Linked DNA regions of Pelodiscus sinensis. The protein of the gene in region 3 interacts with the protein of the main gene of each other region in a pairwise test. Links are inferred from orthologs where the notes say so. Each region holds a gene or a part of one and is shown on either strand. Other genes may lie near its edges.

The links.
Region 1: the proteins of GFAP (region 3) and PDZK1 interact in binary tests that used the Homo sapiens proteins (3 or more experiments, as listed by UniProt). The link is inferred for Pelodiscus sinensis from reciprocal best matches to the Homo sapiens genes GFAP and PDZK1.
Region 2: the proteins of GFAP (region 3) and KIAA0408 interact in binary tests that used the Homo sapiens proteins (3 or more experiments, as listed by UniProt). The link is inferred for Pelodiscus sinensis from reciprocal best matches to the Homo sapiens genes GFAP and KIAA0408.
Region 4: the proteins of GFAP (region 3) and SH3YL1 interact in binary tests that used the Homo sapiens proteins (3 or more experiments, as listed by UniProt). The two-hybrid records come from large-scale screens. The link is inferred for Pelodiscus sinensis from reciprocal best matches to the Homo sapiens genes GFAP and SH3YL1.

What each region holds. Positions count from the first base shown.
Region 1 is NC_134711.1:163,350,817-163,358,952, reverse strand, and holds the start of PDZK1 (Na(+)/H(+) exchange regulatory cofactor NHE-RF3), read left to right. Parts: upstream 1-4,796; 5' UTR 4,797-4,938; intron 4,939-8,136. UniProt on the Homo sapiens protein: A scaffold protein that connects plasma membrane proteins and regulatory components, regulating their surface expression in epithelial cells apical domains.
Region 2 is NC_134713.1:90,711,369-90,719,449, forward strand, and holds the start of KIAA0408 (uncharacterized protein KIAA0408 homolog), read right to left. Parts: upstream 3,683-8,081; 5' UTR 3,419-3,682; intron 1-3,418.
Region 3 is NC_134739.1:201,228-209,156, forward strand, and holds the start of GFAP (glial fibrillary acidic protein), read right to left. Parts: upstream 3,215-7,929; 5' UTR 3,163-3,214; coding exon 2,648-3,162; intron 1-2,647.
Region 4 is NC_134713.1:35,446,324-35,454,194, forward strand, and holds the start of SH3YL1 (SH3 domain-containing YSC84-like protein 1), read left to right. Parts: upstream 1-4,575; 5' UTR 4,576-4,733; coding exon 4,734-4,734; intron 4,735-7,871. Other genes in the region: ACP1 (low molecular weight phosphotyrosine protein phosphatase), read right to left, coding at 4,257-4,299.

The DNA.
Region 1 (8,136 bases), on a different chromosome or scaffold from region 3:
TGCAGAAACAACATGCAGAAGTCCAGATTAATTCTGAAATTATCTGTTATTCTGATTTACTGCAAGGCTTGTGAGAGTGGATGTGTTTTGTAAGCTCCCAGATCCTGGAGTCATGGGGTATGAGATCCTTGATTTCTCTCCCCTCTGCTCCCCCTTAAAAGAAAAAAAAAAAACCCCAAAATTCTAGTCTACATGGTTGCAGAGCAAAGCTTGAAACATAACATGGTAGGAGGGGGCACCAGCCATGTGCCCCCTCAGCCTGAGGAAAGGCTGGGACAACTCCCCTCCATCTCAGGTCCTGCCTCTCACCACCCTTGCTCCACCTTTTTCCACTCCCCTGAGCTATGCGGCCTCGGGGACTAGCAGAGCTGGCAGCAGGGGCTGTCCTCTTCCCTCCTCCCCATACTCACCAGCAGCAGTGAGGCAAGTGGAGCAAGGTGGCCCTAGCTTGCTCTGCTTCCTCAGCCCCAATGCTCTGCTTTCCGGCAGTGAGTGTGGAGCCGTCCCGTCTGTCCCGTAAGAGATGTGACCAAAGGAGCACTGCAAGCTGGGGCCGCTGCTCCACTTGGCCTGCTGCTGGTGGTGAGTGTGGCAGGGGGCAGAGCCCAGCTGTAGGTACTAGACCCACCTCCCACTAGTTTCCCCGTTGGCTACTGGCTGGTCCCTTTCCCCTCCCACCCAAAGTGCTTGGGAAATTCATGCCACGTGCAGGCAGATGCTGCAGCTAAAGCTGGCTGCTGTGCGGTGGCTCAGGGGGCCAGGGCTGGGGTACATAAATATTAGCAGATGGGAGAACCTGAAAAGGCAAATAGCTAAGATGGGAAGGAACAAGAGCGAGCAAGTGCACTAACCAGGCCCTGAGCTACCACAGCCAGGATTTAGGTAAAGATGAATTAATCAAGGAGAGAATGACAAGGTTGTCATTGTTATAAATGGAACTCACTGCTTGTCTTGGAATATTAGAATCACAGTATTAAACTGTCCTGCCTCTGTATTGACAAGTCGTGCCATACTTGATGTTTCCTTAGCGCTCCTGCTCCTGGAATCAGGTGATTCTATGTGAATATCAACTTTCTATTTTTGAACTAACCATCTGGACCCCACAATGGCAGAGATATGTAGAGCCCTGTGGTGAGACAAAATTGGGATCCACAGCTGCAAAAATGATCCACAGATGCCCATGGACAGGGCTTGACAAATCATGTAATATACTCGCCTGTGGCGAGTAGATTACAAGCCGGCACAGCCAGCGTCACACGATCTGCGCATGCGCAGCGCGATCTACACATGCGCGGCTTGCAGAACTGTGCGGCTGGCGAGTGGGGCTCGCCGCCACTTGGCGAACCCTGCCCATGGACATAAGGCAAGTATCTGCAAATTATGCCTGGTTCTAGATCCAAAATGATATCTGTAGCTGCACCCGTATCTGCAAAAATGAGTCATGGATATCCGCATCTGTGGATATCAAGTGCATATCTGTGGATTTGCAGGGCTCTAGAGATATGCTTGTAAACCAGCCTTCCCATAGGGTGTGCAGGTGGGGAGGTTGATAGATATAGATAAGCAAGATACTGTATTAATCAGCAACACTTCAGGTTTCAAATATGTGCCTCTCCTTGCCAGCTGAATGTGGCACTGCAACCACTCCCTGCCTCCATTTTTTAAAATTTTATTCTTTTATAACACAAATCTTCAGAAGCATTTTACAGCTTAATGATAATCTTAGTAGATAAAAAGTACTCCAGTATTAATTGACCTGTGGAACCAGGCTTTTTCTGTTGCCCTTGGGATTCACGTGGCTTAGCCCTCTAGCTGGGTCACGCTCAGAGTTCAATTCTCTTCTGGGATCAGAGAAGTCCAAACAAAACAAAACATTCTTTCACACCCGGCTTGGGCCCCCCTCAGCCCACCCTCTGGGCTCAGGCTATCTTTTAATCTTTCTGGGATGCAGGGGCCTCTCCCAAGCTCTTTCCTTGAAATCCTCTTACAGTCTTGGCCCCTTTGGGATATCTTTGAGTCTTCCCTGCTCTGGAAGACCCTGCTTCAGGGCCCCTTTATAGGAGTATAACTTGCTCACTGTAGTTCCTCCCCCAAAATCAGTTCCTCCAGCCCCTCTTATGGGGGCATCTATACAACAAAGTGGCAGAAAGTCTCAGAGCCTGGGGCAACAGCTTCATGTTTGTGTGATGGTGCTAAAAACAGCAGTATAGACATTGTGGCATGACCCATGAAGCACACACTCCTCCCTAAGCTACAAAGTCCATGTTTTTTATTTTTAGCACTGTAACATGAGCTCAAGTCTCTAGTCTCGGGCATTGAGAATCCCTGCCACTTGCTGTGTAGGTATATAGGGTTGCCAGGCCTCCAGGATTGTCCTGGAGTCTCCAGGAATTAAAGATTAATCTTTCATTAAAGACTGTCATGTGATGAAACCTCCAGGAAATCACCCAACCAAAATCAGCAACCTTAGACATATTCTATGAGGTCCAGGTGTTTCAGGCAATTACATGATGCCTATTAATTCAGCCCATTCCCCCATCCGGAGCCTGGATGGCAGTCAAGCTCCAGTGGATGTCTGGTGCAGAAACTAGCTGCACTGCAGTGCCAAAAAGCATTAGCACTGGCCACCTCACTACCCACTCAGGTTTGGCCCCTCTGCCATGAAGGAGGGACAGTATGTTAAAATTTGAGTGATTGGCATTGCAACCTGATGCAGAGTGCAATGGAATTCTGGTTGACTCCCTTTGCCTCCCCCAAATTGGCCCTAGGCACATGCCTAGCTTGTCTATGCTTTAATGTGGCCCATATGCTTGCTTACTCACTCAATACTGCACCCTCATCCTTCCACAAAGCCCCATGCCCTGACCTCATTGCTCTACTGTTCGTGCACCCACATGCATTCTCCTACCCAGCTGCTGGGTCAAACCCACCACACTCATTCCCAAAGAACATTGCCAGCCCCATTCCCATTTACCAATTTTCCTATAACTCACTCACCATAGGAAGAGAATCCCAATCCCTCACCCTCAGCTGGTAGACACTCCCCAACACTACCTCCCTCAAACCCCTGCTTGCCCTCTGGAACCTACCCACACAGCCTACCCCCCTTCTTCTGCCCCTCTGGCCATCTCTGCCTCTACTTCAGTTGGAAGATGTTATAGGCTATGTCTACACTGCATGCTTATTTCAAAACAACAGAGTGTGTGTCTACACAGCAAGCCCATTATTTCAAAACTATTTTGAAATAACAGGCTTCTTAGTCCGAGCTCCGTAACCCTCGTTTCACAAGGAGCAAGGGAAGTTCAAGAGAGTTCCTCCTTCGACTTCCTGATGCGTAGACAGCGCCAAGAGCCAAGTTAAGCTACTTCAACTTCAGTTACACAATTAATGTAGCTGAAATTGCATATCTTGACTTTAGCCTGCAGTGTAGACATACCCATAGAGGCGCAAATTACTGTTCTCAAAACAATACATGGGCTGTTAGAGCCTCATCTGTATCCACCAAGCTCATTGAGTCAACTGGCCCTTAGTGAATATCAATGAAGCTACTTTGCATCAACAAAACCTCCCGACACATTACCCAAATAGCATGCTGCTCCTAGAGACTTAGGTTCTAGTCCCACCTCCACAACTTCTGGGTGACCTCAGACATGTTGCTTTTCACCTCTCTGCCTCTGTTTCCTTATCTAGCCTTTGTCACTCACCTGTTTACATTGCAAGCTGTTTGAAGCAGGGATTCTGTCTTACCATGTGTTTGTCTAGCACCTACCAGAATGGGCTTCAATCTTTATTGAGGCCTCTGGACACTATTGTAATACAAATAATTCCTACCCTCAGAATGCATATGGAGTCCCATGCCCAACATCCAGAAGGAAGATTTTCATGCATCTCCACATTCATCCTGCCTATATGCAAAGATCATATTAATGCAATATTCAGACAGATTTCGATGCCTTTTACTTCCACCCCTCTAGCCTCTTGGGACTGTCTGTTCCTATTCTTTAGCTCATAACAGACATGGATATAATGCATCACAGATTCCCAGGCCTGCCCATGGAGAGGACGGGGCCAAAGGAGCAACTGTTGTCGGGCCCAGCAATACAAAAGAGTATTGGGGTCTTATCTACCACTACCGCAGTAGCTGGAACTCTGGGCCCTTTAAATCACTGCCAGAGGGCTGGGAGGAGGGGTAGGGAGGCTGTGGTCCAGGCAGTGCTGAAAGGTGGCTATCCACAGCCATGCCTCCTTCCACCTGAGGCCCCGCCCCTTCCAGGGGCACAGAGTAGGGGGCTCTGCCTTGCTCAGGGCCCAGCAAGGCTGTTGGCCCCACTGCTGATTCCACAGAAAATTTGCTCACGGTTACACAGGCAAATATCTTAAGTTTACTTTTCCTTGTCAACGGAGCTGATTTGCTAAGGAAACAATCAGATATTAACCATGGAACCTCACAATGCCATTTTGCAACAGTGTAACTAAGGCAGTTATTAATTTGGAGACTATAACCAGTAGAGGTACAACAGACGCGTTCTTTCCAATAGCTGAGTCCCTGTCACCAGAGCCTGCCTGCCAATGCTCATTTCTAGTGGTTGAAACTTGTCTTGGATCTGCTCTATGTGAGCCCTTGTCTGTTTTAGGGGAAAGCTCTTACCAAGAGCAAAGATCAGGCTTATCTTGGATCTGCTCCCTGTAAAAGTCTGAGTTTGACAGTATAATGATCAATAAAACCCCAGAGCAGAATTCAAAGTTGCTGAGAAAGGAGAAGTGATTTGCACCACTGCAGGCAGGTTATCAAGGAGGTGAATACATGAAGTAAGACTCAGTTAAATAGATAATCTTTTAACTCAACCTTTGCACAGTCCAAATTCAGCTGTACCTACAGGCAAAGCCACAGGAGAGACTGCTGAGAATTCCCTAGGGGACAGCACCCTGCAGACACGGGTAAGAACTTCCCTTCTTTCTTTACTAACCCTTGCCCCCAAACCTCCCAGGAGTTACTACCCTGGTTACCTTTTTAGGTTGTTTACCCCTATTCCTCAAAGCTTTTGTGCAGCAAAAGGAGTATTAGCATTAAGCCCCATGCTAGCTTCCCCACTCCCCCCCTGAGGTGCATGAGTTCAATATCTGCCATTTCCGGCACCTGCAGATTTCTTCGGCTTGGTTTTCGCTGGGATTTATCTCTATTTCAGGGACTGGTGAAAACTCCTAGGATATTTCTACACTGCCCCCGTTTTGCGCAAAAAAATATGCAAATGAGGCAAAGCATGGAATATCACAGCACTTCATTTACATAATTAATGAGGCTCTGTTTTTGTGCAAGAGGCTTGTGCGCAAAAAAGAGCCATCTACACAGCTCCTTTTTGCGCAAAAACCCTCTCTTGTCAAGAGCCATTCTTCCTGAAAAAAAATGCGGAAGAACAGCTCTTACAAAGAGGTTTTTGCGCAAAAGCCTCTTCCGCAAAAACGAAGCCTAATTTATTATGCAAATGAGATGCAGCGATATTCCACGCTTCGCCTCATTTGCATATTTTTTGTGCAAAACGGGGGCAGTGTAAACATAGCCCTAGAGCAGGGTTTCCCAACCTATGGGTTGGGACCCAAATATGGGTCGCCATTACATTTCAAAAGTGTCTCCACAGGTGGCTCTGCCTCCCCACCTCCCCCCATTTTTGAATTGCCTTGGGTCACCAAGTCTTCCTGCATTGTCAAAATGGGTCCCCATCTGGAAAAGGTTGGGAACCGCTGCCCTAGAGTATTTAGAACAAGCCACTATGCGCTGCAATTTTCACAAATGCAGCCTGCTCCAGTTTAAAGCAGGTCAGTTCCACAAGGGCAAGTGGTTGCTTTGCCTGTCTACATGGAGGATTTGTCATAATACCAGTGCATGGGGGATAGAATCAGGGCAAATCGTGACTTTTCAAAGGAAAGGCAGGTAAATTGTGTGCTGTGGTCTCCTCTTTACCTATAGGAGAGCTGTGTTTGGGATTAGAATCTCTACCAGGAGAAATTTTCAAAATTGGGTTTAGGAAAGGATGCACCTGCTACAACTGAATTTACTTCAGTCTTAATTTCTCTTTTGTGGATATGTTCAGTGCTAAGTATTGCAGTATATTCAATCTTTCCAGCTATGGGCAGGGTCCTAAGCTGACAAAACTGTATCTTCCTTCAGCTTCCATAACACATCTGTGCCCATCTGACTTTCAATATGCTAGCTGACCTAACTCACCCATATCCTTTCACCTATAGGGGCAATCATCTTTTAATAAACGGGGAGGAGGAGATTGTTTTTGAGCTTGTTTATACATGAAAATTAACTTATTATGAAATCTGGTGTGAATTTAAAGCATCTTTTCCTTGCAAACCTTTGCGGGCACTCTTATTCAAGAAAAAGAGTATCTTAAATTCTGACTTTGTTAAATAGCACCAGAATGAGAGGGGTCACACAGAGAGTTAATCTGGAATAATTATTCCAGATTATAATCTGATTGTTAAGAGTGATATGTGCATGTGGGCCTGTCTATCCATCTTTAGGGGGATAGCAACAATACAGAGAACAATTTGGAGGGACAAGTCAGCAGCTAGAGCTTCGCTGGCATTAATGGGATCTTGGACAAATTTTGTCAATGCTTCTTAGAAATAGTCTTGTTAATTATCTCCACACCCACAAAGTCCCAGGCCAGACCATCCCTGCAACATGGGCCTATTTCTTTATAAACGAGCCCAATTTATTTTGAATAGCTCTCTCTCTAGTCACAAAGCTTCTCATGGACTCTGCTGACCTAGGCTAGCATCCTGTGGGTGGTCAGAGAGAGTAGTTCAGAGTCACAAACCTGAATTGATTAGAATACCAGACAGCTGAAACGAGACAGAGTTTCTACATATATCATCCACAAGGTCTGGCGCATAAGGAGAGAAACACAGAGTACCTAGGAAATCTTTACAGCAGGACAGGTGATCACATGGACCGTATTTATCTGGGCTGCGATTAATGTGTAATTTGTACATCACAGCTTGCCTTGGTCACATGACAGCTTTTTCTCTTAGTGATAAGCAGACAAAAGTCCATCCAAAGGGTTATCAGTCATTAACTACATAATTACACAGATTTTTTTGAAGAGCCAGTCAGAGAAAGATGTGTTAGTAAACCACAACACTCACTAGGATAGCTCTTTGGCAGGAGCTGTTGAACAGTGAAATTGCCTCCCCCTGGACCTGCTCCCCAGAGTGAACCTTATTTCCCATGTATTACATTTTCCCTTGTTGTGCATTTTATAATGGTCAGGCACAGAAAAGAAAAAAAAAAGAAGAGTTCCATCCCACCGACTAGTAATATCCCAAAGACCCATCTGGCTACACAGTCAGTTGGCCCTGAATTCTGCCAGAAAGTGCTCTGGTTTGCATGGCAGGCTGGGGCAACAGATTGGAAATTCAGCATCAATTAATACTTAAAAACTTGAGTTTTTCAATGAATTAAATGGAAAGTAATGAACCCAGTCCATACAGCAACCTACTGTTTCTGTAATTCCTTCAAGATATGTAACTTCCTCCAAAGTGTGAAAATATTTTTGTACATCATTGCACTGTAGAGGTCATCAGGGCAGAAAGCTGGAAGATCTGGCAATTAGATAGGTAGTGGGCGGAGATCTTTGGTACCTGAGAATACAGGTTAAGATTGTGGTATAAGCACATTATCTAGACATTTGTGCTCTAATGACCAGCAGCAAAAGATTTAAAACCCCTTTCCAAACCCACAAAGCCTTCTCTGTGCTAGCACAGCCCAGTTTTGTAGGTGTGCATCCAAAGGAGTTTTTCCACAGGTGTAATATTACTACCTGAGGGTATGTCTACACTACCACCCTAGTTCGAACTAGGGTGGTAGTGTAGACATACCCTTAGGGACATTAGCCCACTTCTGTTAATATACCTGCATCTACACTGAAGGCTTTGGCAGCATAGCTATGTCAGCGGGGGTGTGTGGATTTTCACACCTCTGACCAACATAGCTAAGCTAGTATAAGTTTTAAGTATAGCTCAGGATAGAAGGGACTCAAAATATTTAGTACACCCACATTTTTTCCTTAGCATCTTTTTCTTCTCTCCTCCATTACAGCAGAAACATCTGCAATAGCAATGCCTACC
Region 2 (8,081 bases), on a different chromosome or scaffold from region 3:
GTCCTTTAGGCAGAATGGCCAAGAATGCGGTCTGTGTGCTATCTTTGGATTTGTTCACAAGACAACTAGAAATCTAAAGATAGGAAGTTTGCTCAGAGACTTTAACACTGGCATATTTAAAAAGTCCTAATTTTATACGTAGACTTTTATTTACACAAAAGAAAACATGCAGATATGGGGAGGGACTCAAATCTCTTACATATATTCAAGTACATCAGAACACAATACAAAAGCTTAATGTAGTTTGTTTTACAAATCTAAATAAATACATTAGTCCACTGGCATGGCCCTGGAAGACAGTCAAACTAGAGTCTATCCCCAACTCTGATTCTGAGACCTTGCAAAAATCATGTAAACTTTCAGCAACTCTATTTCCCTTTCTGTAAAAGTACAGCTCATGAACCCCACCACCCTATGTAAAAATCTGAGTTTTATCGATGGACAAGTGCTAAGTAATGTTGTTATATTATGATATAATTGTAGAGGGAAAATTTTATTGAATGGTGATAGATTTTATAGACCTGATTCTCACTTAGTCAGTTTTTTACATCAGTAACTCCACTGACTTCAGTAGAGTTACTACTGATTTACACAAGCAAAAGGTGAGAATCACATCAATTAATGCATTCTAGGGAGTGACAGTTCAGTAGTCATACATGGTACGATGTACTGTATTCAGTTTGTGTGTTCCTTAAATTTGGGTTTCAGAACAGACAGTTGTGTTAATCAAGTGAACATATATATTCATATCTTTTCACAATAAACTTGCAGATTGCATTGGTTCGTGATCAGTGGTTGTGTCAATGTAATTTGTAAGATCACGAAGAACTACTCCCTTTATTGAACATGTTTCCTTTAATGTAGTGATTACTAAAAGAATTACCTGGTGTTGCTTGGGTCCTAGAGGGTGATAGTGTTGCCCCCTGAGGCCAATGGGGGCCATGTTGCCCAGATGGCAGCTGCTCTGTGGCTCTCAGAGGCTGCTGGGGGCATGCTTGCTTGCTCCCCCTCTGTGGTTATTCTGGAGTATAACTCTCCTGCTATCACAGCCCCCTTGTTCCATTTGATGAGAAACAATCACAATCCATGCACATCCCATTGTCCTGGAACAACCAAAAATCTGACCTTGCTTTAAATTATGATAAGAGGAAGCTGCAGACTAAATTTGGTAGTCCTAACTCTTATGGTTCAGGAGGAGTTCTTGAACAAACAGATGCACAGATGGACAGACAAACAGATGCACAAACTCTCTCAAATATATAGTAGACTAGTTTACATCTAATTTTGTAATTCCCTTTTGAGCCTCATGCAAAGCTCTCCTCACCCCTTTATTGGGCAAAAAAGATTGATTTGGCTGGATCCGCAACATGAGCAGCACCCACTTTCTGAGTTTTTTCAGCCAACTGAACTCAATATATTGAATATCTGTTTCAATCTATGAAGCATATCTAGTCATATCAATTTTTTTTTCATTTATTTACTACAAAAGTTGTGGGGGAAGGAAGATTGGGGAGGAGAAGGACATACCAGAAGTAATTCACTTTTTTAATAGACGTTTTTAACTTATTCAAGAGACTTCGGAGGAATTAACCAAACTGATCTCTCTATTCACTCACTTGACTTCTCTTGAATGATTCAGATACATGCAGCAAAGATCAGTGCAAAAACAAACTAAAGACATATTGAGATGGGTACAGAGTGGAAACTATCAAAATGCAATGAAGTCCCAGAAAAAGTTAGCTGCAACTAGTTGCTTGTAACTGTAATTTTCCATCAAAAGTGCTTCTCTCTCTCATTCATGGTTTCTTTTCCTTTTCATATCACTTCTTATTCCCTTCACGTTTCCTCTTAAGATGCAAATAATAATAGTGAAGCTCATGATTGTTGATGTTTGCTCTGATGGCCGCTACTGCAGTAAATCTACCGAGTAAATTCCTTAGAGCAGTGTTTCTCAACTAGTGGTATGAGTACCCTTAGAGGTACTCAAGAGAAGTCTGGGGGAGGAAGGGGTATGTCAGCACAACTGAAATTTGGAGATAACTGAATTTTTGTTTTAAATTTTACAATGTTTTATTATTTTTGTACTTTTTACACCCAAAAATGTCATTGCCTTCCCGGCTATGATTAAGTTGTTTAAACAAATGTGTTGCAATAGTAGAAAAAAAATTGTGTGTCTGAAAACTGTAGGTACTGGGGGTATTTTTATATATATATATATATATATTTCTATATATATATATATATATATATATATATATATATATTTATTTAAAGAGGGGGTACTTTATTAAAAAAAAGGTTGAGAAACACTGCCTCAGAGGACTTTGACCCCTGCCCCTATAGTTGTCTCTTTCTTTGCTTCTTTCTCTCTGAAAGCTAGAAATAAGATCCCAATCGCTAATACTGCTATTAAACTCACCATTTGTATAAAACACTGGGCTGTTCCCACAGGTACTCCACATGGCTTGAGCAAAACAAACAAATGAAAAAAAAACCCTGCTTCCTTTTTATTAAAATACCTTTTTCTTTCACATGTGAAAGCCTATCACCCCAGCACAACCATGATTTTCATTTGCCTTGTGGAACATTACAGTGTCTGAAATCTGGCTATATTGGCACTTTCCACATGTCCTAGACAAGGTCAAAAGCTCATTACAGCAATCAACTTTATGCAAATAATCAATTTTGTCAACATCAGCTGTATTTATCTTTTCACTGTACCCTTTCCTCCTCTCAAATAAAGAGTTTAGGCAACTCCTGGTCTCTAATGTTACTCTTTCTTCCCTCCACCTCCCCTCTATGTTCATATAAAAATGCAAAATAATTTGAACTGAATTTCTGATGTGGTATGACAACTTCTAAAAATAATGTGCTGCGACATCAGAAGAGGTGTTATTTTTCACCACAGATTAACGATAGCGGACATACACAGCTATTCAGATAAACAGATCTTCTTCTTTTTTATGAGTGGTTAATTCACAGTAAGATAAGGTGATGGTTTCTGGATGGATAATAAATGATAGGTCTATTTATATATTTGTAAAGAAATGGTCGGCATCATAGTTTTTATGCACTTTGTATTAAACCTATAAGAAACTCTCAGAGTGTCATTCTATTATTTAAAAACAAAAGGTTGGCAAAAATGGGCTGTCATCTCTTTCTTGTTAATAAATCATTCCATGGTTTGGAAACACTGGCTGAACCATGGAACAGCCTTTCTTTAAGAAATAAACAACCACCATCACACTTTTAAATTATTATTGCTCTAGGTGCAAATATAAAAATGAGGCAGATGTTTACAAGAAACCTTGGTCAAACTGTTTACTGCCTTAATACTGAGTATTGTTAACTTTCTTTTCTATTTCATAAATAAGGCCATAATTCTTCCAAAATCACTGAGATTTCCAAACGTCCTTACCTTTTGTGGAGTAAGCAATCCTTCAGAAGTTTTTCAGTCCATTTCTCAGTGTAGTAGTGAAAGCAGTGAAATGCATAGCTAGATGGGATAAGGAGTTCCAGTTCTGTGAATCCTGATCCTTTAAGAAAACAAGAAGCCAGGAAAGAGAGAACTTTTCAATCGGAGCAGCACTGCAACTCTCTTTGATTAACTTCACAACTTCAGTTTTGCAAACTGAAAAACAGTTCTATTTGGCATCCTCCCGGCAGCTGGGTTCCATGTGACGTCAGTACATGGAGGATGGTTTTAAAGCCATTTCTTCCACCCCCACCTCTGTAACTTTATATCTGCTCATATTTTGTGTAAACAACTTCAAGTCCAGGACATTTTTAGGTTTTATAGTGCAGCCTAGTATTTAAAGCTTGCCAAAGCAACCAATGTCAATGTTAAAGCTATGACAATGGACAATTTTAGATTTCTTTTATTAGTTAAAGGCAACCCTGTGTTTTAAAGTAGGATTCTTTTCTACATTCCACACCCAGTTTTGAGGGGCACATTTTAAGTTCTTTAGGAGCTGTGTTGTTAAAGTACATTTGTTTATAAGAGCAACTTTTCATGATCCACAGCTCCCCTAAAACACCCACTTTCCCCCACCCTAAAAGCTTTATTTTTTGTATTCAATTATAGTATCATTTCTGAAATAAGACAGTACAACTCATTGTGTAATCCGATCTTATTTGTATTCTAGGAATGCTGACAATGACTCATTCAAAATATATACAAATATTTTTACTACTTTACATCCCTTCGCTGGCAGAAACCTGGGAGAGATGATGGAAGATGTCTCTTGTTTCAGCTGCACCCCACAACCCTGGCACAAGAGGAGGGAGGAGACAAACAAGATAGGCTTGAGGTAAAGGGTGTGTATGATTAAGTTGAGGTCTGCTACCAAATATCCTCCACAGGTGTAACATTAGTGAAGTACCTTATGCCTATATAAATTTGAGCTGCTACTCTGCAACACTGACCTAGGCTGGTGCTAGACAGCGGAGAATTAGGGAGCTACAACCACCATACCCCTACTCTCCATGGAGCCTGAATGGAGTGGGGTAGAGAATCTAGCCCACTGTGACAAATCCTTGTATTTGCCTATCTAATTGAATAGTGTTGTTGCATTTCACTGTAGATTATAAATTCCATGCTCATTTGGTATTTGATCTGTTCTGGATATGGTGTGGACCTACATAATCTCAGCAGGAACTTTGGCAGGGATCTGACCCAAGGAGCCCCAAGGTGTGCAAGTATGGGGGAGCGGGATGCATACTACTTTGCCATCGGCAAAGCATCAGGAAAATGGAGACATGTCTCTTTTCTGCCCCCACTTCCATATTTCACCAGTAGTGGTTCAGGAGCTTATCTGTGCTGGGGAACTACAACTGAGATGGCCTCTGCTTACACCCTGAGGTTGGGGTCTAAGATTACTTGTGCCCTCAACCATTTGCAACCTGCATTGACTTATATTGTGCATGGCTCATCTCCAGATGTATGCAGCGGCTTCTGGCAGTGCTGAACAGAAGACTGGTGGGCATCTGCTATTAGGCATGTGAGTGCTATTCTAATTGCCTTGAATGGGAACAATGTTCAGGCCCTCCAGAGCAGAATCTGAGCATCTTACAAACAATAGCATTTGCTTGTGGGATCAAGGAGATAGTCTGCCTAGGCGCTGTGGGGATCACTTACTCAGCACTTTCCCCCTTTGGAATGACAAGGTGTGCCTATGTTAAAACAAATGTACAATAGAAGAGTTTCAGCTGAGGGTGCATTTTACAGTCAACACCAAAGTTGGTTGCAGTGAAAATACATTTTTTCTCCTTATATGGTCAGAGACTAAGTGAAGATATTACTTGGGTGCTTACTCTGCCCCTGTGAAAGATGTGCCATGGGACTCGGACTGTTTATACAAGTTTCAAAAGCCATTTTTTAGAAAGAAGAAAGATGATTGAATGTGACAGATGGTTCCTGAGGAAAATCCTCAGCCCATTCATTTAAAAATCCTTCTTGTTTAAAACCCCAGAGATACTTTCTGCCCTCAGTTACACTCAAACAACTCAGCTGTGCCTATGTAAAATGGAGCAGGACTGAGCCCCTAATTGAGGATTATGGATCCAACCCTCTTCTCACAACTTCAATGGAGTCAACAAGGCTGCACAGGTGTAAAAGGAGGGGCGGAGTATGATCTTAAGAACTTTTAATCCTATAGTTCCTTAAATATAGACTATCATTCCAATGTATTTATTTAAATTTTACTAAATTGGTGCCTATTGTCATCCAAGTGCTGTGAAACAAAATATTAAAACACAGACTCTTACAAATTGTGACCTCAGTTTTTACTGACATTCACTTGAGATTTGCCTTCAAGTCAGAATGAGGACCGACTAAAAACAGAGCAAGGTCTTGAGGGTTAGCTCTGTGAATAAAATGATGCAACTCAGTAGGAAGCCAGACCTAAGGCAAACTGAAGTCTATGTTGTGAGCCACACAAAAAGGTGTCTAAGGATTGTAGCTCCCCTGCAGTCAGTTAGGGTATTAGAAGATTAGAATGAAAATTTATGGGACTATGAAGGAGATGTGTTTCTGCATTGACCCTATGCAGCTCCCTGAAAGTCAAATGGGGTTTTTGCCTGAGGGCAGAATTTGAGCCTTCCATTTTACTTTTAAAGTATGATTCTACCTGAAAATGACTGTTTTAAAATAGCATCTACTTATTCAGCAGACAAGATCCCAGTGTGGCTGGCACCACTGGCAGAGTATACATGACTCTTACATGGGCATGCTGTGATTGGGAGGGCACAAGAAGCCTTCCCCTGTCTCTAGCCTGTTTAAAGACCAGGCAAAATTGCTTGCCCCGAGGGAAAAGCATGCTCCCCCAACCAGCATGCACAGCAGAATGGAGACACCCAGCTAGCAAATTGCCTCCAAGAAAAGAATGAAATAGCAGGCATGTTCCCATTAAAGTCGGAGAGTTCAGAGAATTTTTTTCTGTTAAGTGTCTCCTCAAACTCTCAGTGAGGCAATGCAACTGCACATGGTCCCCCTATTCTGGGCACGATCTAGCCCTTTGTGACGAGAATAAAGATTTACTCCTCTTAAAAGATTTACCAGAGTCAACATGGCTACAAAAAAAAAATTCCTGTATTCTATTACTTTTCATACACCAGCAGACTCGGTAACTAAATTCCAATCGCAAAAGGGGTTTGGTAGAAAATACAATTGCAACTGTGCAACCCCCATGACTTTACGGACACCTCTATAAGGGAGGGGAATATTATTCACAATTTACAGTTGGGGGAACAGAGTCACAGAAAGGTTACATCATGCAACTTGCTCAAGGTCACATTGGAAATCTATGATAGACATTTATAACATGTTTTCTCTCCTAAATTACAGCATAGCTTGCCAATAAATACTGCATAACTTATGGCAGAAACTGGTCTTGCATATTGTTTCCCCATCACTAAAAGAAAATAACAGTGTCCGAAATGTAAGTTAGTAGATGATAGGTGATAATAGACCCTCTTATTCTGGGCTGATTAGAAGAAATGGCTTGTTATACTCAAAAGCTCTACTTGTTTATGTAAACAATCCTTCAAGTTCATGTGCAGTTCATCTTTTTTTATAATGCATATTTAGACAGATATTGTTTTGACAGTTTTCTATACTCCAACTGCTGGGTATATTTCTGTTTCATATGGGCACCTGCTCTCTTCCAGTTCTTATTCTAAAGCATTTGCGACAAATGTCAGCAAACCCATGTCTTATTATATCTGTAATATGGAACTGCAGACACACATATTTTCAGATTAAATAAATATCTTTGTTCCTGAACAAGATCTTTCAAACTACCATTTATTTTCATAGGTGCAAGTTACTTTGCAGTTACAATTTAGAAAATAGTTTAGAGGCATTTACTATTTAAAAGAATGTACATCTGGATGTTAAAAGGAAACAGACTTGACTCAATTTCTCTGGTTGTATTCAAAGAAAAAATACATTCAGAGTCTGCCCTTGTGGGAAATCTGCGAAGGCCAGAGAATGAGCTAAAATGTTCATTTTTTTTTTACAGTGCTACCATACTGTTGAACATTTGACAGTATCTTCAGTGATGCCAAATGATTAAAAAATAATCACAAGATAAAAAAGTAATTGCAATTCATTATAGTTTTAATTTTGCTTTTAAACAATTACAGAATATGAATTTAAAATTATAAATCTTTTTGGATTTTTCTCTGCTTTCAAATATATTGATTTCAATTACAACACAGAATACAAAGTGTACAGAGCTAATGTTACACTACTATTTTTATTACAAATATTTTCACTGTAAAAAGACTAAAAATAGTATTTTTCAGTTCATCTAATAAGAGTACTGTAGTGCAATCTCTTTATCGTGCACTTGCAGTTTCAAAAATGTAAATTTTTTTAACATAACTGCATTCAAAACCAAAAATATATAAAGCTTGAGCTTATAAGTCCACTCAGTCTTATTTCTTGTTCAGCCAAAGAAGGTAACAAAGTGAAATTTCTTAAGATAGCTATAGTACTTGACCCAAGGTTTAAGTATCTGAAGTGCCTTCCAAACATTGAGAGGGATGAATTGTGGGACATGCTGTCAGAAGTCCTAAAA
Region 3 (7,929 bases):
GACACCAGGGCCAGGGTTTTCAACGGGCCCTGAGCCAGGTTTTCAAGGGCTCAGCAAACACAGCGGAGGCCTGATTGGCTCAAGGGCTGAACTCACCATAAGCCGAACAGGAATCTGGCCCCCGTTGCGGGTGTTTGCCAGAGTCCCACCAAGGCTCGTGCGCCCCTGACGGTGAGCGCCGGGTGGGGGTGCTGGGTGCCCCGCCTGGGAGAGGTCGGAACAGACCCACCTTGTTTCTCATCCTGGATCGGGGCAAGAAAGGGCAAAAATGTCTCTCGCCCCAGTAACGTGACACGTGCCGAGGGCGCTTGGTCCGGTTTGTTTCAGTTCTGTCCTTTTTATGTCTTAACCTGTTACAGAAGCTGTTGTGGAACCTGGAGAGCACCAGGCGCTCCCCGCCAAAGTGGAAATGCAGCAATGGGCTGTTTCGGCCATTCCCAAACTACTGCGCCCGAACCCAGCGATGCGTCCCCACCGTCCCTCCCCGGACAGCTCCGCTTCGACCAATCAGAGCTCTCTGACGAACAGAACTGCACGGGGCACCTCCCACCGAGGTCTCGCCAGCAGCAACAATCGTGAGCCCTTCCCCAGTGCAACGAAAACGAGCGTGTCTGTAGCTCCCTGCAGCGCTAGGACTCTGCAATTACCCCTCCAGCGCAGCAAATAGCCTCTTGCCCGAGGGTGGGCAAGATAAAGCCCATGGCTGGATCCAGGCCGACAGCCCTTGTAATCGCCCCCCCCCCCCCCCCGGGCAGGTAGCAGCGCTGCTCAAAGTGACTGGCTGCTCCCTGTGGCTTCTGTGCTGTGGTGGGGGAGGCTTCGTGCGATCCCTGCCCGCAGCAAATCGCTCACCCTCCATCGGCCAGTGGAGCTGAGAGATTTTGCTGGGGGCAGAGGCACTGTGTGAAGCCCCCCCCGCACAGAGAGCCACTTGGCACAGAGCGGTCAGGGGCTGCTTAAGTAAGTGTCCCCCCACCAGAGCCTGCCTCTGGCACCGCACCCCCTCCCACACCCCAACTCCCTCCCAGACCCTGAACCCCCTCTCGCACCCCTCCCCCAGGCCAGAATCCTCTCCTGTGGCCAGAGCTCCTCCCAGACCCTGCACCCCAATCCCCTGTCCCAGGCTGAACCCTAAGCTCCCTTCTGCACCCAGCCTCCACCCCGATCCCGCACCCCATCCGTAGACAAGCGCGGCTCTTGATCCCTCACCAAAATCTTGGCGTGGCCCCGTCGAGAGTTACTGCCCAGCCCAGCTCTTGCCCACAGTGAGTGGTGAGGACCCAGCAGTTACGACTCCAAGCCCCTGCTGCCTGCACCTAGACCCCGTCCTCTCTCCAAGCAGAACTCAGGAGTCATGATTTTCCATGTGCTGTCAGAGCACTCTCCCCTCCCAGCACGGCAACTGGGATCCTGAAAGTCAAACTCCCCTCCATTGCACTAACCATTAGACAACACTGCCTCTAGAAAGAGCCAGCAACCCCCACAAGCAAACCTCTGTCTGAGGCTGGCGAACCGTCACCTCTTCGGCCACCCTCCCACATTCTGCCATCTGGCTCCCAGGTTAAGGTCGTTTCTGGTGTCTCGACCCGTGTGGGTTGTGCCAGGAACGGTGCACGTCTCTCACCACCGGCGCACGAGAGGTCGGAGTGTGAGCCAGGCTACGCAGGCCCGGGGCTGCCACGCTCGTGCCCCCCTGAGGCCTGGGCCAGCTGCCGCCCTGCAATCCAGCTGCTAGTGCAGGCACAGACGTGTGCCAGGCAACGTGTACAGGCCCATCTGGTGCGGGCACACGGGGCCGTGCGGGTGTGGGCAGCGTAATCTCTCACCAGTGGGCCGGTCGGTTACCGGGGCGGAGTTGGCTCCACTGAGCTCTCCCCACCCGCAGAGCCCGTCCAAAGCCACCCGCCGGGGCAGCTGGGCGCAGAGCGGGGACGTGACTGGCCAGCAGGTGAATGGCAGAGGTGGGCTCCAGCTGGCATAATAACCACCGGTCCCTGCACCCTGTCTCCCCGCTAAAACAGCCCTGCACCCCCCCTTCCTCTTAACGCCCGGCCCCTGCACCCCCGCCTCCCCACTAACTGGGCCCCTGCACCCCCCTTCCTCTTAACGCCCGGCCCCTGCACCCCCCTTCCTCTTAACGCCCGGCCCCTGCACCCCCGCCTCCCCGCTAACTGGGCCCCTGCACCCCCCTTCCTCTTAACGCCCGGCCCCTGCACCCCCCTTCCTCTTAACGCCTGGCCCCTGCACCCCCGCCTCCCCGCTAACTGGGCCCCTGCACCCCCCTTCCTCTTAACGCCCGGCCCCTGCACCCCCCTTCCTCTTAACGCCCGGCCCCTGCACCCCCCTTCCTCTTAACGCCTGGCCCCTGCACCCCCGCCTCCCCGCTAACTGGGCCCCTGCACCCCCCTTCCTCTTAACGCCCGGCCCCTGCACCCCCCTTCCTCTTAACGCCTGGCCCCTGCACCCCCGCCTTCCCGCTAATCCAGTCCCTGCTCCCCCTGCCTTCATGCCCACACCCAGGGTCCCCCCAGAACTGCAGCTACTCCGCGTTAGTCGCTGCCCTCGCGGCGAAGCCTGGTTACCACCGGGCCGTTCCCCGCGCCCGCTCCGGCTGCAGAGCCGTCGGCCCGTCCAGGCGGCTCCTTACTTCTGCCGGAGGCCGTTGGTGTCCTCCAGCAGGTTGTCCCGCTCAATCTCCAGCCGGGTCTTGGCATTGGACAGCTGGTCCACCTGCCGGCGCAGCTCCCTCAGCTCCTCCTGGTAGATGTCGGCCAGCTTGGTGGGCTCCTTGTCCCGGATCTGGTTGAGCTCCGCCGCCAGCACCTTGTTCTGCTGCTCCAGGAAGCGCACCTTCTCGATGTAGCTGGCGAAGCGATCGTTCAGCTCCATCATCTCCACCTTCTCGTTGGTGCGCGTCTCCTTGAACTCGGAGTTGAGCGCCTCGGCCAGGGAGAAGTCTGCCTTGCCCGGGGGGACCCTGGAGCTGGCCTGGATGCTCAGGCTCGAGCTCCTCCTCTTGGTCATGGAGACTCGGGGGCTGGGGCTGGGGGAGAGGAGCCACATGAGGGGCGAGGCCCGGAGGGGCTGGTGGCCGGCAGCAGCCTGCGGGCCGAAGCGGCGCCGGTAGGAGGACAGGCGCTGGCTCTCCATCCTCAGGCTCATCCTCCCGGCTGTGCCTGAGCCGGGGCCAGCCTGGGAACTCTCCCTGTGCAGCCGGGTTTATAGAGGACCAGCCCGGGGGCGGGCGGAGGTGGCGTTGTGAGCCAGGTCCTAGAGCCCGCCGTGTACCAGGCCAACTGCCCAGGCCCCTGGCAGGGGAACAAAGGACGGCAGAGCAGGCAGAACGCCTCGGCTATTGCTTTGGGCCAGGAGAACAAACGCGGAAGGACCTGCCCCTGCCCCTGCTCCCGGAGCCCCGGCCCCTCTGGTGGGCGGGCACCAGCTTCCCATGAACTCATTTCGTGGCTGCGTGTTCCTGGCAGGCGGCTGCGGCAGGGGACAGCCTGGCCTGCCCGTGCCCCTTCCCAGCATCCCAGAGACTGGCAGGAGTGACCGCAGCCTTTCCTGTAAGCACAGGGCGTGCCAGGCACCGCAGCCAGGCCCCGGGACACAGCAGCGCTCCCCGGGCAAAGGAACGTACAAGGGATGTGTGTGCAAGGGCACGTCAGCAGGGCTCCCCGGGCAAAGGAGGGTGCAAGGGACGGGTGTACAAAGGGCATGTCAGTAGGGCTCCCCTGTGAAAGGAGTGTGCATGGGACGGGTGTTTAAAGGGCACGTCAGCAGGGCTCCCCGGGCAAAGGAGGGTGCAAGGGATGTGTGTGCAAAGGGCACGTCAGCAGGGCTCCGCGGAGAAAGGAGTGTGCAAGGGACAGGTGTACAAAGGGCACGTCAGCAGGGCTCCCCGGGAAAAGAAGTGTGCAAGGGACGGGTGTACAAAGGGCATGTCAGCAGGGCTCCCCGGGCAAAGGAGTGTGCAAGGGACGGGTGTACAAAGGGCACGTCAGCAGGGCTCCGTGGGGAAAGGAGTGTGCAAGGAACGGGTGTACAAAGGGCACGTCAGCAGGGCTCCCCGGGCAAAGGAGTGTGCAAGGGACGGGTGTACAAAGGGCACGTCAGCAGGGCTCCCCGGGCAAAGGAGTGTGCAAGGGACGGGTGTACAAAGGGCACGTCAGCAGGGCTCCGTGGGGAAAGGAGTGTGCAAGGAACGGGTGTACAAAGGGCACGTCAGCAGGGCTCCCCGGGCAAAGGAGTGTGCAAGGGACGGGTGTACAAAGGGCACGTCAGCAGGGCTCCGTGGGGAAAGGAGTGTGCAAGGAACGGGTGTACAAAGGGCACGTCAGCAGGGCTCCCCGGGCAAAGGAGTGTGCAAGGGACGGGTGTACAAAGGGCACGTCAGCAGGGCTCCCCGGGCAAAGGAGTGTGCAAGGGACGGATGTACAAAGGGCACGTCAGCAGGGCTCCCCGGGCAAAGGAGTGTGCAAGGGACGGGTGTACAAAGGGCACGTCAGCAGGGCTCCCCGGGGAAAGGAGTGTGCGAGGGACGGGTGTACAAAGGGCACGTCAGCAGGGCTCCCCGGGGAAAGGAGTGTGCAAGGGACGGATGTACAAAGGGCACGTCAGCAGGGCTCCCCGGGGTAAGAAGTGTGCGAGGGACGTGTGTGCAGGGGGTACACGTGGCTGTGCGAGGGGTGGATGTGGTTTTGTAGGGGGATGGGAAGGGTGAGCATATGTCCGGGATGTGAGGGCTGTGTGTGGGTGTGTGAGTGTGTACAAAGGGTGTGCACGCTGTGCACGTGTGTGCAAACTGAGTGTGTGTGGATTGTCCTCGGGATGTGTTTGCTTCCAGGGGGCGACGCCAGCGCCAGTGAGATGGGCCCTGCTCCTGCCTGCCCCCCGCCCTGCCCAGTGCCAGCTCTGCGCGGCCGTCCCGGCGGCTCCCCGCCAAAGCGACCGGAGCACAGAACTTGGCTTTGTCTTGACTAGAAAGAGTCTTTGAAGTGTCCAAGCCGCGCCAGAAGCTAATTACGAGACTCCCGCTCCGTGTCGCTGGGAGCTCTGGGCTTGGCTGCCAGCCCAGCGGCTCTGGGAACGCTGCGGAGACGTGCGGCTGCTCCCGGTTCTCCCCGGGATGCTGCCGGGCCCAGCAGGGCGAGCCGGGCGGCGCTCAGGGCTCCGGGGCCCTGTTCCCAGGCCGGGAGGAGCGCTGGCGGGCGGAGCAGGGCTGGGGGCAGGCCCTGCGGTGCCCGGGCCTGAGAGCAGGTAATTGTGGTGGCCGCACGCTGGGCGCCCTCGGTGCCAGCTCAGCACAAGGACCAAAGCTGCATGGGAGGCGGCAGGCCACCAGCCAAGGACGCCGAGTGCCCGAGGCGCCGGAAGGAGGGTCCTTGGCGGGGCTCCCGCCACCAGGCCCTTCCAGCTCACACTGGGGCTGGGCTTAGTCAGGACGAATTTGGGAGGGGGCCAGAGACGTTCTGGCCACTTGTCCCCTTCCCGTCTCTTGTGGGCTCTTCCTGGCCCCGGGGGTGGGAGTTGGGGGCTCTCCGGGCGGCCCAGGGCCTGGGCTCCCCCACTGCCAGCCGGCGGCGCCCTGTGCCTGGCCGACAGGGACATGGTGCGCCGGGAGCTGAGCTGAGCTGGCCTCCCGTGAGCTCTGCGAGGACCCAGCGGCGGCAATGCACACGCTCCTGCCCCGCCCCTTCCCTGAGGCCCCGCCCCTTCCCAGAGACCCTGCCCCGCCCCCTTCCAGAGGCCCCACCCCCTCCCTCACTTTCACCAGGCTGGGACCGGGGGTGCAGGGAGCAGGCTCTGGCCGGGCGGCAATTACCTCAGGCAGCCCCTGGGTGTTGGAGCCGCAGGGTCCCTGCCTGCCCTGGCCCTGCGCCGCGCCCGGAAGCTTCCAGCATGTCCCTGTGTCCCCGGGGGGGGTCGCGCTGCACGCTGCCCACACCCGCAAGCGCCGCTCCCAGTGGCTGCACTCCCGGCCAATGGGAGCTGCGGGGCTGGGGCTGGAGGCGGGGCCAGCGTGCAGAGTCACCTCCCTCCGCCAATCTGACCGGGGTTCAATTCCTTCCCAGCCCCAAACATGGCAGCCAGACCCTGAGCAGTGGGACAGACCCACCAGGCAGGCCTGGGCGAGAGCCCCGTGCAGAGCCGCAGAGCCCTCCCCGGCCGGCCTGGCTCCCGCCGGTCGCTGATCCCCGTGGCTGGGGCCACGTGCCTGGTCAGCAGCCTCCTCTTCCCGGCCCCCAGGCACGCGGCCAGCTCCGGCTTGGGCCAGAGACCGGCTTCGCGCCACGGACGGGCACAAACCGCCCTCCCGTTTCACGCCTGGACATCTACCACCGGGGCGACTGGTGAGAGGGGGATGGGACACTGGCCCCACCCCCCTCAACACCACGCCTGGCCCCTGCTCCCCCCTCTCCCCACCTCCTCCCACCCCTGCTTCCCCCTCTTCCCGCCCCTACTCCCGCCTCCCCCCACTCCTGCTCCTCCCCTGCTCCCCCCTCTTCCCGCCTCCTCCCACCCGTGCTTCCCCCTCTTCCCGCCCCTACTCCCGCCTCCCCCCACTCCTGCTCCCCCCTGCTCCCCCCTCTTCCCGCCCCTACTCCTGCCTCTTCCCGCCCCTGCTCCCGCCTCCCCCCACTCCTGCTCCCCCCTGCTCCCCCCTCTTCCCGCCCCTACTCCTGCCTCTTCCCGCCCCTGCTCCCGCCTCCCCCCACTCCTGCTCCCCCCTGCTCCCCCCTCTTCCCGCCTCCTCCCACCCCTGCTCCCCCCTCTTCCCGCCTCCTCCCACCTCTGCTCCCCCCTCTTCCCACCCCTGCTTCCCCCTCTTCCCGCCCCTGCTCCCGCCTCCCTCCACTCCTGCTCCCCCCCTGCTCCCCCTTCTTCCCGCCTCCTCCCACCTCTGCTCTCTGCCTTGTCTCATCCCTGCTCGCCCACTCCCTACCTCTGCTCCCACCCCTTCCTGAGTGATGCAGCCTGAGTGGGTCCAGGGCCCAGGGCTGGGATCTGCCCCCACCCTCACCAGCCACAGCCACTGAGCCCCTCTGGCCCCTCCTGCGGCCACCTGGCTCTGCCCCCTGCCGGCCAGAGAGTGGGGGGGCAGACCCCTGCTGAGAATGCCAGGCCCCTCACTAGTCCCCGGGCCACCCCCCTCTGCCCCACATGGGAGAACCCTCGAGTCGCCCTGTCGGCCCCCAATGCCACGAGCCCCTCTCCCTCCCCGAGTGAGCCGAGAGCTCTGGTCCCCCCCCCCATCGCCTGGTCCAGGTCCCGGCGCCTCATCGCCCCTCGGCCCCTCGGCCCCCGGCCCAGCTCCAGTTCCTCTTCAGCCTCCTCCCCCCACCCCAGCTGGAAATAGCAGAGCCCCTGCTCTGCCCCCCCCCCCCCCGCTGCCTGGGGCCCTGCGCCCTGGGGCCTCACTATGGAGAGCCAGAGGCAGGCTCAGCTATGCCCTTCCTGGGACAGCTCATCCATCCGCTTCCCGGCCAGGAGCCGACAGCTCCACAAAGGCTCTTTGCTGGGCCCGGGCCACGGCCAGACTCGGCTCCCGCTTCTGTCCAGGGTGCGTCCCGCCAGCGCTCAGCCAGGGACCAGCCAGAGCCAGCCCAGACGGGCCCAGGGCTGTGGGAACCCAGCACACGGCTGCCTCCGAATAGGGTCCCTGCGGGCCCTCCTGCCCCCACCCCCTTTCCAGACTCCTCCAGCCTCCTCCATGCAGGCGGCAGGCAGAAACCAGGGCAGGAGCCCAGGGCTACACGGCCCCCTTCCCCCACCCAGCCAGAGAGCCAGCACCCCTCTGCCCCACATGGGGAGGTGGAGAATCACAGAACCATAGAACCCCAGGGCGGGAAGAGACCTCAGCAGGCCAACGAGTCCAGCCCCCTGCTCTGGGCAGGACCAACCCAACTAAATCAACCCAGCCAGGGC
Region 4 (7,871 bases), on a different chromosome or scaffold from region 3:
AGCGGCTGAATCGGGGATGCCTGAGGCACAGCCGGACTATCGGAAGGGGGGGAGGGGCTATGAGGGGGTCTGTGGTGGTATCCCCCCCACACCACCCCAGACTCTTCAGCCCGGCATATCTGATAATCCGGCACCCCCTGGGTCCTAAAGGTGCTGGACTATCGGAAGTTTACTGTATATCAATATCCGCCTTTAAAACGAGGCATTCACCTATCTTATTACTTAGACTTCTAGCATTTGTGTATAAGCACTTTAAAAATTTATCTGTCTGCCATTTCCTGATGTGTTAGATTCTTTTTCATTTGATTGTCTCATCTGATCTGACCCATATTTTATCATCTTTCATCCACTCCTAACTAGAACATAGAAAATCTCTATTAATAGACCTTCCCCTAAGAGATGTCTCTGTCTAATCCATGTGCATCTCCGCACCCATCGGCTTTTACCCAGCCCTTAGTTTAAAAACTGCTCTACAACCTTTTCCATATTACATAGAACCAGTTAACCAATTCAACAGGATTTTACAGAGGTAGTTTACATCAATGCAACTTAATTGGAAATTACCAGAGTTAACTGCACCTGTGTAAACCCCATTTTAGATTTAGATGCAGTTACCCTAGAGCAAATTTCTCTAGTGTAAAGAGGCATTAAGACAAGTCATTGCTCCAGTATTTATTGGAGGAGAGTATCATTTAATGCATCACCAAATACACTTTTGGCAGTATATCAGGGCCTCCTGTTCAAATACATATCTGGGCTGACATCCTTGCTATGTGAGTTTCTGTGATCATAACTTAATACAGCTGCAAAAGCTTTTATAAAAAGGTTAAAAAAATATTTTCATGTGTGAGGAAACCAAATGACTGCATAACAGTTTTCTCCAGAAGGTATGTTTTTTCTTCACTACTTTTTAATAGTAAGGACATGTCCCCTTAATCCCTTCTACCTGAAGCAGAAAACAAAAGTGATTATTTCTACAGCTTTCATCAAGCAAAGAACTAAGTTTATATTAGTAAGCTATTGTCCATATGGCTGAGGCTTTTCAATCACTATGTAAAATATAATGTTTATTACTCCTAAACATACAGCAAGGCAGGGGTAGGCAACAAGAGACTCAGGGGGGCTGGATGTAGTTTGCCAGGGTTAACCCTGACATGGTAAAGCACGTCCAGCCTGTGGGCTGCTTATTGCCTACCCTGGGATTAGAGAATAGAGCAGACAACTGAAAGTTAGGGAAAGAACACAGGAGCTCTAAATTGTCGCATGCCTGTGGATAAAATCAACTACAAGACACACAGAATTTAACAATCTGCATGTAGGGTATAATCTGCCAGTTACTGGCACTAGGAAAATTAATGGATGAGCACCTACAACAAAAGATACTATACAAGTGTAAAAAGAATATATATATATATATATATATTTTTAAAAAGTCTACCCTTAAATTAAATAAAAACTTCAACTTGTTCTCCTTTTCTCAGTCCCAATTTCTCTTTTATGTATTTGGGTTATTTGCATTGTTGTATGTTTAATTTATAGTTCACTGAGAAGAAAAAAAAATCAGCAATGATCTAATTAGGCATGTATTAATTAGATATTTTGCTGCATAATGAATATCAGTTTCTCTTGTTATAAACAGAAAGCAGATAAGTGAATATTTGACTATTATTTTTTTTTCCGAAACAAATGCATAAGAAAACAATCTGACTGTCTGAACCCTTTTACACTGTGGAATTAACTCTCAAGAGCATAGGAGTATCTTCAGAAATGATAGGCTGTTTCACCCCTCAGACAACTGAACACTTGAATTATTGAAAGTTTCAGATATTTAAAGTGTGGATTAAAAATAACATTTATAATTTTGAATTGACTGGACTCTCAGTTTTATTCTTTGAATAAAATATTACATATACTTAATGTTAATAGTCTATCAAGATCATTTTTAGAGCACAGGAAATTTTAGACCACTACAAGTTGAACGAGGGGATTTTCCATACCAGGGGAGGTCTCTCCCAACATGGCCTGTGCTGTTCTGCTGCCTGCCTCCGCCCCAGCTAGGGCTACTGCCTGGCCCTGCTACTGCCTGCCTGGCCATGGCTAGTCAGGCTGGAACTCCGTAGCTGCTGCAGCCAGACCTAAGCTCCGCAGTCAGAGCTCTGCAGCCACAGCTGAATCCCAAGCTCTGCGGCCAGAGCTCCACAGCCATTTCCAGACCCCAAGCTCCAATGGCTGGAGCTCCACAGCCACTGTGGGACCCCAAACTCTGCAGCCGGGGCTGGAGCTCCCTGGCTGCAGCTGGGGCCAGAGCTCTGCGGCCACTGCTGAACCCTACTACCTCCTGGCCACAGGGAGAAGTCTCTGCTACACCACCCACCCCTCTGCACACATTCCCTCCCCAATGGGGCTCCCTGGTGAGTTGCCGCCCCCATGGCCAGACCTCCCTATACCTGGGCTCTCTGGTCCAGGAACATCCCTGGTCCTGCCAGACCATGGATGTTGCCAGACCAGAGAGTCCTGGTTAAGGCAGGTAAAACCTGTAGAAAAACACCACAAAACTCAACAATGGCAGAAAGAAAGCACAATTCAGTCTTAAAATTATATTTTAAATGAATGAAACTGACAGGTCAGCATTTATTACAAAAAATAAGCTCTCCCACACATCATTCAGCCTTTGTTGTCATATGACTCCAACTCTTTGGGTAACTAATATAAGGAAAACATTCAAGGGAGTTAACATTCATTACAATCATTTCAGATCAATCACTTGTTCTTTCAGACTTTATTCATCCTTCCCTGAAAATAGTTAATATGATTTATTCTCTCCATTCCCAAATTTCTCTAGTATTATTTAACACTGAGCTAAACACACAGAGCAAGCCATGTCCCTGCCCCAGAGAGTTTACAATCTAGAGGTGCTCTATTAGTGGTTATTAGCTGTTTAATTAATTGTAGACAGAAGACATTAAACTGTAATTTGCTGTGTAATGAATATCAATTTTTCATTATAAATACAAGGCAGATATGGTTTCATAACAGGTCTAATTTAACAAATGAAGACTGGCCTTCTCAAGGATCATCTTAGCTTGCCACACTCTTATATTATGATGTCAGTGTGTAGACAACGACACGATTAAGCGATAACCATAGGTTTATCAGCTAAACCTGCTGGCTACATGTATCCCTCCCTCCCTACACCATTCTGCCTCTGAATAAGAGGCAGCAAGGGGGGGGTGACGGCTTTTAAGCAGTCTCTCCACGAGCACAGGATCTGCATGCCATCCCCACTCTTGTGCTGCTGCCTCTGATAGAGAGGCAGCAGAGAGGAGAGTGAGGGGGGCAGGCAGGAGTTGATACATGCAAGGAGCCAACTCCCCCGAGCATCAACAACACAGACCCACCAACTCACCCCACCCTCCCCGGCGCTGCTGCCACTGCAAAGGCTGCTCTGCAGCAGCAGCCTCTGTTTCTGGTGGATTCAAGCTCCTCGCGGACAGAGGATGCTCTGTGCCAGTCTGTGCAAGGAGATGCTTTTTATAGATGTAGGAGCGGGACCTGGCAGGAGGTTCTCCAGGAGCGGGGCTAGGAGCTTACTAGGGCTGACCCCACTCCCAGGGACTATTGAATAGTCATGTAACCACTACAATTCAGTAATTATGTAACTGCATCAAATTACATGCTATCTAATATATATCCAATATCCCTATTTCTAAGTGAAATTCTTCTCATTTCTCTTCACTGATGTTTATCTTGTTTATTTCAGGAAATTCAGAAGTTTGTTTACAGCCTTTCTTCCAAACCTGGTGTCACACACACATGCATATTCTCTGCCCCATTAAATAGCTCACCCATAAAAACACGATAGTATCATAACCAGAACCTTCGCTGCAAACTCTATCGGGGAGATACTAAGCATGAACATGTAGCCTGCGGCTACACGTACTATGACCCTGTATCAAGGCCTCTGGGCACAGACCACAGCTCCTTGGGAGTGGAGTGAGCAAGCAGACTAGGAAGGGGAACGTGGATAGGAAAGACTCGAACTGCGTATTAAAGGAGCAGGGGGCTCCTCAGCTACGCAGGGTGCACCTCTATCCTCCCTCCATTGAGTCACTCACCTTCATCTGCTTCCTGGGGAGCTGGGGGGAACCTACTCGGGAGGGCACGGGCTCTACTCTTACCCCTCCCCAGCCCGCCCTTCCTGCGGCTGCTGCCCCGGAACGGCCCCTCTCTCCCCTGCGCGGCCGCCCCGCACTCACCCAGGCACACGAAAAGCACAGACTTCACATCCCCAGCCGCCATCTTCCTCCCCCGGCCGAACCAAAAAGAAGAAGGGTCCTTCCTTCGGGCTTCTTCCCTTTGCCAGACCGTCGCGAAAACTTCCCCGCGCTTTGCGGCGCCGCACGTTAACGGCGTCTATTGTGTGTGCCTGATAGGAAGTGAAGGTGGGGAATAAAAGGCACTACAATATTCTCGCACAGTCTGGCAAAGCCACTGGGGCCCGAATAATAAACCCATCATGGCGTTGACGTGTGTAAAAACATCAGGCACTTGTATGGACAACCCCTCTATCCCTCCCAGCTGCACCTGTCCCAGGTGAGCAGCTCCCAGGGGCCCTTCCTTCACCTTGCAGCAGGCAATCAGGGCTGCGAGATAGTTTGGGCCTGGCAGCGTCCTCTCGCCTCTTCCCAGTACTGTGCAGCTGTAGCCAGGAGCCTCTGGAAGGTGTTCCAAGAAGTGAGTATGGAGGCTGCTGTGCTTTCAGGCCGGGGAAGGGGGCCAGCCCTATGCTGGGAAAGGATCGTGGTTCTTGGGGTCCTACCTTCCCAACTCCTACTGGGGAGGTGGAAATTGGGTGTAAGTCTACACCTCAAAATTAAGTTGACTTAGATCAACCTGTGGCTATTGCAGTACTTAAAACGTTTTTGCAGGTTAGCACTTGCACCTTCTGTCAGTATTGTGCACCCTCACCAAGAGTGCTTGTGTAAGTCTTCTGCCAGGTAGCACCAGCAGCAGCCAGGACTGGGTTCAATATCTAAGGGTTCCTCTGCATCCATCCAACATAAAACTGGTGTGAGCCTCCACTCAGTAACCTGGGAAATTCACACAATACTCTATGGGTGCCTCTGAGAGGCAATGCTTCCCCACTCCAAGCAGAGAGTCTGAGTGGAGAAAAAAAACCTTTAATAAAAGGGGAGGGAACTAGTGTGTCATTAATTTGGGAAAAACACATGGTTTGTAACCAAAACCATGAGAAACAGTCCTACCCCAAGTAGGTTGGACACTGTCCTTTTCCTCTTGACTTGTTAAATCCAGCAATGTAAATGTCCCCTTCATGTGCCCAATCCTTCTCTGCACACCACTCACAATTGCTGTCCTTGGTCAGGACAAACCCAGAGTTCAGAGGTGCATCTGCAGAGTTCGCCTCTCATCCTGAGTGGGGGGAGATAAGGAGGCATCTTACTCCATTAGTCACTACCATCCAGCTGCTCTCTGCATTGCTGGCCATTTGTCTCACCTTGCTGCTGTTGCTCTGCTGGCCGCTCTTTACATCTCTCCATCGCTGTCCTGCTGGCTGCTTTTTTGCTTCTCCATTGTCACTCTGCTGGCTGTTCATCGTGCTGCCGACACTCTGCTAACCACTTGTCAGCATCTTTCACTGGCTTGTGGTGAATTTGGCTCTGGGCCAAATTTAGTGATTTCAATTCTTGGCCCAAAGTACAGTCCAGCCACAAGAAATTCCAGCATACATTAGAGTAATTTTAAACTAATAAAGAGACTCCTTATGGCATATGCTCTAGTTCTATCATTAGAATAGAGTGCAGGGGGGAACAGGTTGAACCCATCTTATAGCTCACACCTGGAGGGCATGTAGCTTGCCGATTCAGAGCATTCTACTCTTCCCCCAGATAAGGTCACAAAGCTTTGGCAGGTGAGACCTTGTGTATCCAAGGTTCTTTACACTGACATTCTCTCTCCTTTTGAACTGAGCTAAACACAGACTGACTTTTCTGCATTCCTACAATAACTGCAAGCACTGGTGATCATATCTCAAAATTCCTGAATTTAGTGTCAACACAGTTTGTGACTCTGTGACAACCAAACTGGTTACAATGAGCAAAACACTATTGTAACAGCTGAATATCTAACACATCTAAGCAAATCAGGGGCAAACTGTATTTACATAAACACATCCAGGATTTCTTTCCCGTTCCAACCTGCTGTAATGGAAGCATTGATTCAGACCCTGCTTACACTTGCAATAATTTAACTGTCAGTGTGAGGCATGATAGTGCACTGGCAGCTGGAGTGCTCCACCAGGATAGGCAGCCAGCTAGAGTTATTATTTTTCAATTTGTGATAGAAGGAATCTTTCCCTCTTCCTTCCCTGGGCAAGGCTGCTGCAACCCATACCCCTCAGTAGTTATTTACAGCATCTACAGAGAATGCATTTAGATAATGTTAGCACAGTTTTCTTAAGCTGTGGAAGTAGGAGTACTGCAGCACCTTTAGCAGGACAGAGAAGCTTTTAACTTAGATATCCCAGTGTATTGTGACTATTACTAAATGTTGCTTTAGACCTATGTGGAAAAAAAACCCCTCACAGATTAAAGAACTTTTTGGGCAACTGGCAAATCCATAAAAAAGCCCAACCACGCTGATTAAATTCCAATCAGGTGATGACCCTGGCAGCTGGAATGCTACTACTCTGAGTATCAGCTCAGCACAGTGGGCTTCTGGTCTTTTAACTGCCAGTCTGATGTAAGCAATGTAGTGTCAATGCTAATGCAGCATTGACAAAACCATATTGACCAAAATTGTCACACCTTTTTCAGAGATGAAGTTGTTCAGTCAGTATACTAGGTGACTTGCACAAGCAGGAGCAATATTGTAGTGTAGCAATTTTTAGAAATAAGCCAATATAAGACAGCTTCCATTAATCTAACTCTGTAGTGTAGACCAGGCCTAAGTTAGGTATTCCTCTTGCATCAATAGCCCCCTAAGCCCATAAATCCTGACATCAGTGTGCCATAAAAGCTAATCTTTGGGATCTGCTGGAAGGTGGAACTGGCTATTTTTTTGTTCCCTATCTTGCAAATTATACAGCTTAAATATATAAAATTTATTTTCCAATGCTTCATCAAAAACCTACAAACAAAAAATGTTATTGCAGCTCAATGCAACACTACTACAAAAAACACAGTCTATACTGGGATTCTAGGGGAGCCTGCTGAATTTCAAGTCTTCAGTTTTCATTGGAATATAGAACATAGATACTACAACTGCACCTTTAAAATCTGGCTCCAAATTTCTGATCTGACATTTTGATCCTTTGAGATTTTGGCCAGAAATTGGATAACCATATTAGTGAAATGGGGAATAAGTGTTGCCTCTCCCATTTAATCAAAATAATCTGGCTCTTAGCACTTCCTGATAAAAGCAACTTTCATGTGCTCTAATTTGATAACTGTATTGGGCTGATTGAAATAATCTTGATCTGCACTACCATCTTCTAGTTCTGTTGCCTAAATTTAGTCATGGTTGATAAACATTTATTTTTTTCTTTTTCAAAATAAACCTCTTTAAAATGTGAAAACGTGGCAACCTATATTAAGGACTAAATTCACTATAATCTGTAAAAAGTAATTTGAACTACATTTTAAAAAAAACATGCTTCCTGCTAGTTCTGTAACCTTTAGTGGAAACCACTGGCTAAGGACCTGGAACCAGGTTTGGGTGAACACCTGCTTTTGACTGCAGTAGTCTCTTCTGCAGGTGAATAGACTATATTTTCTTCTTTATTCAGCTAATTCATTTAAATTAAATGATTAATTCATTCAAAGTTGAAAAATGGATTGGGAGTTAAAAAAGAA